Arabidopsis thaliana: one gene and its partner. The protein of the gene in region 1 interacts with the protein of each later gene in a pairwise test. Each region holds a gene or a part of one and is shown on either strand. Other genes may lie near its edges.

What was found.
Region 2: the proteins of AT3G60660 (region 1) and AT5G50840 interact in a two-hybrid assay, tested with the Arabidopsis thaliana proteins (one large-scale study listed by BioGRID).

What each region holds. Positions count from the first base shown.
Region 1 is NC_003074.8:22,419,185-22,423,977, forward strand, and holds AT3G60660 (spindle/kinetochore-associated-like protein), read left to right. Parts: upstream 1-2,159; 5' UTR 2,160-2,296; coding exon 2,297-2,393; intron 2,394-2,474; coding exon 2,475-2,599; intron 2,600-2,743; coding exon 2,744-2,856; intron 2,857-2,961; coding exon 2,962-3,049; intron 3,050-3,185; coding exon 3,186-3,253; intron 3,254-3,331; coding exon 3,332-3,437; intron 3,438-3,512; coding exon 3,513-3,542; intron 3,543-3,646; coding exon 3,647-3,760; intron 3,761-3,905; coding exon 3,906-3,983; 3' UTR 3,984-4,293; downstream 4,294-4,793. Other genes in the region: AT3G60650 (uncharacterized protein), read left to right, coding at 167-304, 797-1,090.
Region 2 is NC_003076.8:20,683,946-20,689,704, reverse strand, and holds AT5G50840 (alpha-taxilin-like protein), read right to left. Parts: upstream 3,888-5,759; 5' UTR 3,803-3,887; coding exon 3,511-3,802; intron 3,422-3,510; coding exon 3,354-3,421; intron 3,260-3,353; coding exon 3,148-3,259; intron 3,053-3,147; coding exon 2,985-3,052; intron 2,887-2,984; coding exon 2,809-2,886; intron 2,287-2,808; coding exon 2,222-2,286; intron 1,982-2,221; coding exon 1,915-1,981; intron 1,807-1,914; coding exon 1,624-1,806; intron 1,447-1,623; coding exon 1,390-1,446; intron 1,290-1,389; coding exon 1,194-1,289; intron 1,098-1,193; coding exon 966-1,097; 3' UTR 783-965; downstream 1-782. Other genes in the region: MAB1 (Transketolase family protein), read right to left, coding at 1-34; AT5G50830 (nuclear polyadenylated RNA-binding protein), read right to left, coding at 5,156-5,320, 5,398-5,465, 5,638-5,759.

The DNA of each region.
Region 1 (4,793 bases):
CATTCTCTCTCTATCTATATCTGCATTTATTACACAATCTCTCTTCCTTTAGCATTTATAACAATCACGATACCTTTAAACCGCCATATCTTTCTCTATCTCTCTATATATATCTACAACCGTCTCGGTTATAATCTAAGTCATCTCTTTGATCGATACTACTCGTATGGATATGTTGAGGAGTGCTTGTTTCTACTTCCTATTAATAGTGTTTGTCATCCTTTCTTGGTCTCTTTTATGCGATTCTCGCCATCTTGGACACATGGAGAAGAAGCTTAGTGTAAATCTTGATCTTTTAAATAAGGTAAGCCCTTCGCTTGTGATGTTAAGAGTCATGGTTAATATGGTGTTAGTTTTTTCATAACACGGGCAATTATTTTTTGATCATTGATATTAAGATGCGTATGGTATATAGTCTTTTAATTTGTTTATATATATGTGTGTGATTTTCACTTTTTAAATGTCTTTTACATAGATATGTAGAAGAATTGAATGCATATTTTTCCTTTTCAAAATCAAATATACCTCTAATTTAAATTTGTAGGGGGGCTCCAAATACTTTTAAATGATTCCGTATGTATGCATGTATATAAACACTAGATATAGTGCACAACTAAGAAGTTCGAGGGTAAACACTAGCTAGTTTCACTTATTTTCATAAAACAATTCCCATGTAAAATGGGTTTGTATTCAACATACTCCACTTTTAGTGTAATACTTATTAATAAATGACAAAAAAAAACTAAAAAACTAAAAAACTTAAGTCATGAATACTAACTCTTATTCCATGGCACAGGACAATGAAGAGATTACAAAACTAGAAGCTCCATCAACAAACAAGACGAACACCTTATTGAGCCAATCACATGCGGTAGTTAATCATGGTGATAATGGTCAGATCAACGGGAAGAAGACGAAGGAAATTCACAGAGTAAAACGAGCTTCAGACAAAAAGGTGTCGTCTAAAAGAGTCTCAAGAACTTGGAAAATCCCTAAGTATCCAAAGAAGCAGCCTAAATCAGATCAAGAACATCCGGGTTTCAATCTTGATTATATGCAGCCCACTACACACCCGCCTCATCATAATTGAACTCTTAATGATCATGTAATAACTCCATGCATAAACAAATTTCATATCGTGGTTTATCAAATATCATAACTCAAGTCACGAAGAATTTCCACTTTTTACTCGTTTGATATATCATGATGTATGGTCAGAAACGACCTAGTTATAATAAGCTTTTATATTTAAAATTAATACATATACGAATTAGATTATAGTGAAACTGTTATCGGTATTAATTGTTCAATACTACTCCGTTGGGTTTCTTGATGTTGCTACCATATCACACTTGCAAGTTGAATGCATATCATCATGATGTACAATATATACTTTACTCCTCTTTATATGCACATGCATGTGTATGATCATTTCGTTGCTAAATTACTATATCAATATGTATTTTTGTTGTTGTTCACAATTGTGTTATAGTATTAGCTAAGGTTAACAAATGTAATTTAAAAAGACTTGCAGGTTAATAGTAATACATGTGGTTTTCTGCTAATCATAAATCTTTTAAGTTAGTCTGTTAATTTTCGTTTCTAATGTTGACAAAACTGATACTAAATATGTATGTATATAATATACATAGTATCTTGAACTTGGTGGACCTTAAAAATAGTAATACAGTACTTGCAAATTTGCAATATTTTCATCCGATTAAAGAATAGTAATACTACCACTAGTCAAATGCATTATTTATAGTTTGTATATATAGATGAGTCCGCGTGCAAAGTCACTGTTAACGATGTCCAAAAAGGACGAAGATCCCGCGTATGGTTCCAATGCAATCAGATGTCCCAAATCCACGTATCTTAAATTTAAAATTGACTTGTACAAAACAATATACTACTAATAATTAATCAAAGACAAAATTGTCTATCTCATTTCTTATCAAAACGTTCTGTTATTTTATTTTCCATAATTTCTTCTTTCTCATATGTCATAACGTAATTTTGTTACATCGAGAGGATAAAATTCAAATTTTGCGGAAAAATATATAAGGCCCGTTTAGATATATTAGTACGTTGAAAAGAGCGAACTTATTAGTATAAGGCCCATTTAGATATAATAGTGGGTCATAAGCCCATAACATATCCTGCAACAGAGAACAAAGAAGCTGCGATCTGGCTAATAAAACTTTCCCGCCGGAAAAAGTTTCTGCAGTTTCCAACTTCTTAAACCTAAGCGAAGCAGATAGTCTTTGATTGGGAGATTGAGAGAGGTTAGTGAAGAATGGAGGGAAATCAAGCTGGATCTTCTCTAGATTCGTTGATTGCTTCTTTCAATAAACGAATCGGCGAATTGCAGGAACTCGTCATCGCCAGAAACAGTGAGTCCTAGTTCTAAACACTCAATACTCAATTCGTTATTCAATATCTTCATTTGATGACCTAATTTCAATTTCCTGCAGTGTATCCTGCAAGTACCATCCCGGATTTATCGGCGATTGACACAGCGTTGAGCTCAATGGAGCTTCAGGTACAATCGATCAAGGACCGATTACGTGAAGAAACCGAAGCTATTCCAAAAGCTAAGGTACGTTTTATTTACTTCCGAGATTTCTGAAATTCAGATTCTAGAAACGTCGTTACACTGTAAGATGATTTGAATTTGAGTAATTTAGGGTTTAGAATCTGGACCTGGGTTTTTGACTTTGAGAGTTTTGTGTGTTGACTGTAGAAACTTATAGAGGCATCACTGAAACAACAAGGGAAGTTGCAGAAGATGTCTATTTATGCACCTTCCCATTTTCCTGACAAGGCTACTATGTTGAATTCAGATTTAAATAGATGGTATTTACATTTACTTGCATCTTCTTTTTTCAATTTCTAGGTATAGCCTTTGATTTTTATTACTACTCCAGAAGTTTGATTAAGATTAGTGGTTTCTCATTCCAGTCTGCTCCAAGAGAATGCCAAGCAGTACGAGCAACATTCTACTCTCAGCTCTTTGAAATTTGATGAGGAAGCAGCTGTTTTACCCAAGGTAGAACTTGCATATACTTTGTTTTCTTCAAAGAGACTTTATGGCCTCTAAGACTCAATGGCGATGAATGATAAACTGTTGCTATTGTGTATTTCTGTTATCTCTGTCTATGGTTGATCTTTGGTTTTGTTTCCAGGAGAAGAAGGGTCGCGGGTCTCCTCCCCTTTGGTACATAACTGTTGAGGAACTCAATTCACTCTCATCGTAAGTACATTTTACTTTCTCTTCTCCTTGTTTATGTGAAATGCATACCGCTTTTCTGACATTTTTCCAAAAAACAAGATACATGAGAGGAAGGCTCACCCTTGAGAAAGTGAATGCTGCTATCAATGACATGGCCTCATATGCTGAAGCAAATGCTCATCTTATTGCAGCCTCAAAACAGAAGGTATATTTACCAGCTGAAGGAATTGAGTTATATAGGCTACAATTGTACTGACGCTTTTGTCTTATATTGCCAAAGCTAGCGGAAAATCTCTGGGAGAAAGCACTTGTAAGCTAATATAACTCATCAACCACACTGTCTAGATGATAGTATCCGTTCACTAGTGAAAACATTGTTATAATCTTTGATTGTCTTGAAACTCTTATATGCAGAAACTACGAGATATCGTAACAGAGCAAGCAGTGAAGGGCAAACATTTCTTTCTTGAAACTGACATGAAGGGACCAAGTTTGAAACTAGACAACACAGGAAAAGCAATACTTACTGTAAGTAACTAATATATCTTCCCTTCATTTCAAAATTTCAACAAAAAAGAAACAACATTTTCATGCTTCCTTAAACTCTTCACCAGAGTTAGACTAACATCGATAACACATGCTTATTGTCAAATTTTGATGTGTCTATTAACAGGTTCTTCGCCACCTTGGTCGTATTAGTGAGACTCGCATTGGACAAAACCGCGTCATCATTCTTATGAAGCCTCACTAGAAACCAACCAACTTGCCTCAAGTAAGTTGTTCATTTTCACAAGCGTAAGGGGTAATTCCGTCATTTTTCAATAGTTTCTTGCTTCTTCTGAGCTCCTTGTACCATAGAATCATAGAAGGTCTACTGGTCCCTTAAACATCATTAAGCCTTAATCTTAATCCTTAAGACCGGCCCGCCTGACAGGCCCAGCTAGGCCCAGGATTTGAATTTATAATATGGACAAAAATGTTTAATGCAATTTTCACATTTGCATAAAAGTAGAAAAACTCGATTTCCGTTATTTTCATAATATTAAAAAAGCAATTTCTCTAAGCAATCTGGTTCAAGTTCCAGTGCACAAATGGCCTGTCCCATTCAAACCTACAAAGTAGCAAAACTCGGTTTCCGTTTTTATTTAGTGACTTTTTACCTCCACATAGTTTTCTTAATACTCCAATACCTTTAAGGATCTTATCTGTGTCACTGTCTATTCGTAAAATCAATAGATAGTAAATTGTAGCTGCCATACATTTATCTTGATACGGACAAGTAAATTTGGCAACATTATTTTCCGAACAGAAGAAGAAAACAAATCTAATAACCAAGCGAAAACGACGATCCTTGCATTATTGTTGTTCATATGTCCTGAAATAAAAATCAAGAGGCACTACGAAATGGGAAGAAGAAAGTGGTCCAGGGAAACAGGAGAGAAAAAAAAAAGACTATTTGCCTCAGAAACATTCACAATTTCACGTTTATCCATAATGTCTGTTCCAATCTCTTTGTCTTCTTTTTTCGTATAACCAATAACCAATTTTAGTCGTCTTTCGT
Region 2 (5,759 bases), on another chromosome or scaffold:
CATCGATGGCTCTTTGCCTCAAGATTCCCAACATTCTCTCTGATTAACAAACAAAAAGCAACAGTAATCGCAGGATCAAAAGCCCCGTAGATCTAACAATCATCGGAAATTGAATAGAGAAATCATAAATCCGGAGAAACAGAGTAGATCAACATCGGAGATAGATTTGATTACCTGAGCTTTGTACGATCTAACCACGCCGGCGAAAAAGTGAGAGACGGCGGATTAAGAAGAGAGCAGATACGACTCAAAGCGTGAGCGAAAGGGCACTGTTTTTTTGTTGTTGTTCTAAAACACAACGAAATGATTTCAATTAGCTGAATAAATGAGAGAGTAGGTCTTCTTCATCGAATTGTACAGGAGCCGTCCGATTAATATCTGCTGGTCATGATCGATGGTTGACATTTCGTTATATACTTTTTCTTTTCCAATATTATATTATTCCATTTGATGTTGTTGAAGTTTGTAAAGGAAAGTGGATGTGACCAAATTTAATTTGACGTTATACTTATTTTAATTCAGAGAGATTCGCTTTTTTTAACTAACCGAATCCATAAAGATGCAAACCGAATCATAATCCATATCGGTTTAACTTTTCTTCGGTTCAAATGGTTCGGTTCGGTTTGGTTTAAGATTGCAAAGAATCAGCTGGTCATTATGGCAGATGTTGAAGTAGCTATTCTTCTCCAAATCGGTTGTGAACTTAGTGAATGCAGAATCATTCTCTTGTGAACCTGGAGATTTGCAGAAGCTGCAGCTGAATTAACTATTATCAATTTGCATTTTGTGAGATAAAATGGACTTAGCTCGCAAAAGAGCAGAATCAATATGATGTGATATGTTTCTACATTTTAAAGTGAATTTGGAGTCTAATTGTAGTTTTGTAATCTGAAGTGCTAATTAGTTCAAAACTCTGACAAAGAAAAAAAGAGAGCAAAACACTGAATTCATAGTCTCTCTCTGTTTCATGGTTGAACAGCAGAATCAGTACTGTTAGTTTCTTTCTGTTTTCTTTCAGCTTGAAGGGATCTGCAAAGTGATTCAAGCTTGTCTTTCTGTTTCTTTGTCTTCTCCAACAGTTTCTTCAATCTTTCACGCTGTTCAAGGTCAACCAAAAGTGTGATTTTACTGGTTTCATAACCAAAATCTACAAACCCTTAAAGATAGTGAGAGAACAGACGGTTTTGTTTTACCTCTTCGACGAGTTCTATGAGAGTGATATCCGACTTCTCAGTTTTGTTTTTCAAGAATGCGTTTTCTTTTCTGAGTTCTTTGATTGCTTTTGACATCTACTCAAAAAACCAATAGAGACAGGATCAAGTTAATAAGATCACATAAATAGCACTTATGATCTTTCAAAGAACCTCGAAGGTATAAAACTGTTATTACCTTATCGATTTCTTGTTTGAATGTTTCAAACACCTCATTGCTCTTAACCAACGCGTCCTGCATAACCAAACAGCCTTTCACTTTACAGTCTTTTCATATAATATCAGTAAAAAACATATCTTAAGAGAGTATTGTATCACACCCAAAGCAAGCAATCTTATTATCTGTGATCACAGTGCATCGAGAAAACGATTAAGACTTATTTAGGAAGTGTAAAAGGGGAAGAGAGCAGACCTGGAACTGCTGGAATTTATCTCCATCAGAAGTCAGCTGCAACCGCAAATTTTTCTCAGTAGACAAAAGCTGAGAAACTTGATCTGCGTAAACTTTCATCTGAGATTGTTCATGGATGAGTTTCTCCTCGTGCTGTTTAATTTTTAAAGCAGAGATCTGTAGCTCAAGTGTTTTCTGCTTCAACTGTCCATTCGAAAATGAGATGTTGTCAAGTAGACATCGCAGTTAAGCCAATTATTTTGGCTAAATCATGCTTCATATATAGTTGGAAAAAACGAATAATTTAATTACCCTTTGCTCATGTTGTTGTTCTGAAAGCATAAATTGATCAGCCAGGTGCTTCAACTTCGTCCTTAACCTGGAGATTAAGAAACAAACCCATTGTAATTAGAATGGACCTTTATAATATGTTACTGAGCTGATACAAGCAAAGCCGTTTTAAAAGCAATACACATGTAAGAATATAGTTTCCAGAATGTGGGCGAGCATATTCATACTGTATTAACTTAAACTGCAACAAAACTATACATATATAATAAACATACTATAATTTTCCTACTCCAAATGAACATGTTATGATTGAGTTCTTTCCGCTTACATCTCATTTTCTTTGAGTTGCGTGAGGCTTTCATTCTTTTGCTCGTCCAACTTAATGCTCACATCCTATAAACAAAAGAGGATTAGGAAGGTAGAGAGCATAAGAAAAAAATCAATCAAATAAATTCTGATTTTGTTTTTGTAAGTTTTTGATGTTGCAAAAGCCTGCAAGCAATTCATCAAACTTAGTTCTATCAATCTGTAACTTGAAACCAATATGGACAATTTTCTACTTTGTTTAGTTCCAATTATTTCCAAGGACTAAATTTTAGTGTAGATCGGTACTAACATTTGCCAATGTCAGTGTAGAGAGTTTCAGAAAGAAGAAAAAGATATTGCCATGACTGTCCAAAGCATATAGCACGGAAGATTAAAGGAGATAATATCCTAAGAAAATATAACAAGGATCAATAAATGATGTGCATTTAAGATTTGCATACTTAGAAACACAAAACAAAGCTATTATCCAATACTTGTTCCTCTCTAAAACTGCCAATACCGACGGCAAAATGGCTCAAATTTCTATATTCAGCAAAGATCAAAACCCTGGGAAGAATTCACATCGAAAGAAAAATGTGTTCAACTTACCATTATAGCATCCTGGAACTTTGTCGATAAATCCGATCTTAAAGTCTGTCCCTCAGTTGAAACCCTCTTGCATTCTTCCTGTTATACAAAGGAACATTTAGTTTACACACCAAAAGGTTAGTTCCTCAAAACAAGACACACCAAGTAGAGTAAGCAAGAAGAAAGAAAGAACAAACCATTAACATTTTGTTCTGACGTTGTAACTCTCTACAAAGTGATTCAAGCTTGTCACGAACAGTAATAGCTACGGTTAAAAACAATAATGATGAGTACAGACTATAAAGCATTAAACGATGAAGGTAACACAAAACTAGTTTGGTTTTATTGATATCCTATTACCAGAATCTCTTTCAGAAAGGACTTGCTGATACTTGAGCATAAATTCCAAAAACTCTTTCTCTGATTTGAACATATTCTTTGAACCCTTACGCTTGCTCTCAACCACCTCCTGCTTTCAATATCATCAGCACACAAATCAGATACATCATCTTCAACATATATTCTTCTCAAAGCAACAAGATTGAAGAACTCATCAAAATACTGACTTGTTTTTTGGGTTTGAGTGAATCCATTTCCTTAGACAAGGTTGAATTTTGAGTTGACCCTTCTGACACTAACTCAAACAAAAAGCAAAGAAACAAACTTTAGGTTACAAAAGAAGCAAATTCCTATAAAGAAATTAAGCTTCACATTTTCACTCACATGTTTGAGAAATAGGAGGAGAAGCTTCTTTTTCTTTCTGCTCGAACTCTAACTCAAGCTTGATTGATTCTTGAATTAGGTCAGCTACTTCGTCATCTTCATTACCATCAGTTTCACACAACGGAACCGGAAAAGTTCTTGGCTTCTCTGTTTTCTCGATCGCAACAGTTTCATGGTTTGTTGTTTCTTCCTGGGTCTTGGGAGAATTGAGAGGCGGCTCTGTTGCGCCGTCGACGAATCCATCGGGTAAAGAATCGACTTCAGGGAGCAAATTCGAGTGCGGTGACTCCATTTTTTGAGTCTGGATCTGATGAAACCTAATACGAAGAAAACCCAAATATCTTACAACAATTCTGATAGGTAAGTTTAAATTTGTTCTTTCTTTTAGATTCGTTTGTAAAATTTTATTTGGTATAAAATCTTAACAATAAAACCAAAAAAAAGAAAAAAAAAATCTAATTTTGACTAAATTAAATGTTGTTCGTTGTTATTCAATTAATAACTTTAAGTGTTAATAATTGATTTCTTCATAGAAATGTTGAAATAAAGTGTTATTGGTTTTTTAAATTTGAGTATCATCATTATCACGTGACTTTGAAATTCAATTTTATTTGATTAATAAATGTTTGGAAATGATCAACTAAAGAAATGGTGTTACATTCAAGTTTGATAAATTCTTATTGATGCTTCGTTTACACAGAGAAATGTCAATTCGAACCGAAAGCATATAAAAATTTGGTCTCGCAACTTAGACCAACTTCAATAGTAATTTTTTAGTAGAAACTCATACAATTAAAAAAATATATATATTTAAAAGTTAAAAAAATATATATATGTTTTAGAAACTACATGAATTCTATATGCGGGAGGTACTCTTAGTCATTACTGACAAAGATCTCAAATTGGGCTTAACTCGGATAAACATGATCATAAACAAATTTAGTTTGAAAACCATTTTTTCTTTTTTATAAAACTCAACAAAAAAAAGTTAAAAATTTAAGAGGCCATCATTGATAAAACTTTCAACTAATTAATTTTGTCTAAATAAACTTTCAAATTATCAAATTTGAACTTGGTTATTAATTAACTAATGGTCAACGATAATTTTGTTCTGAATAATATACCGTTTTTGACGACATATTAATATAAACTCTAAAAAATAAATTAAAAATTGTATTTTAGGATTTGTAATTAAGATTTTTATCTTTCCTATTATGACTAACACTTGTGCATTCCGAAAACAAACGGAATTCACAAAGTTCAATTACTTACACCTTTTAGTGTGTTTTTTCTTCTATAATTGCAGTTTCCTATATGTTACTCTAATTTTATTTTCATTGGTTAATGTAACAATAAATTTGACATTTAGACAACACTTTTTTTATTGCACAAGTTCAATTAATTACATCTTTCCACGTGGAAAAAAGTAAATTCGTCAAACACTAACTTAATTATCCTGATCAAAGAAAGCAAAGGTGAAGAAGAAGAGGTTGTACAAATTCTGAAACAAGCGTCTCTTAAAACAAATCAAAGGTCTAAAATCGTAAGGTGGTTTTGATTATTCATCGTGATCCCGTACGTACACCACACCATTCTTACTTCAACAAATCAGTCAATGCAAAGATGGCAAACATATTTTGATCGATCACTGGCTCGATTTCTCTTGCACCAAACGAGAATGAGTGTTTCCCATGCATCCTCCACCTGCATAGCACGGCGCAGTCACATTTGCTAAATACTTCCTCGGCAATGCGATTCCGAACCTCTTTCCTCTTCTTTCTTTTTTCTCCTTTTTGACAATGCTTCCGTCCTATAGAAATACAAATATATCATTGTTAGAGATCCTCATAGATCAAATAATCAATAATGTGAATTAATGTGATTGACCACCTCTTTTATCTCTGTCGTGACGCTTTCGGTTTCCATCGACTTTCTCGCGTCTTCTACATCTTTTTCTGCAATAGTGAATGGATAAATTGTTTCAATAACGAAACTACATAATATAACAAGCATTTCATATATAAACATATATATGTCTCTAACAATGCATGCATCCATATACAAATACAAATAGTAAATGATTTATACATGTATATATGTGTGTTTGTATAAGAACATATGATTTACCTTCATCATCATCATCAGAAGGAACATCGACGCAATAAACCCTAAAGCTTGGAGATCCAGGACCAATCATTCTCTCATCAAAGTTGTTGATACTCCCTTCATCAACATCATGATTCTTACCA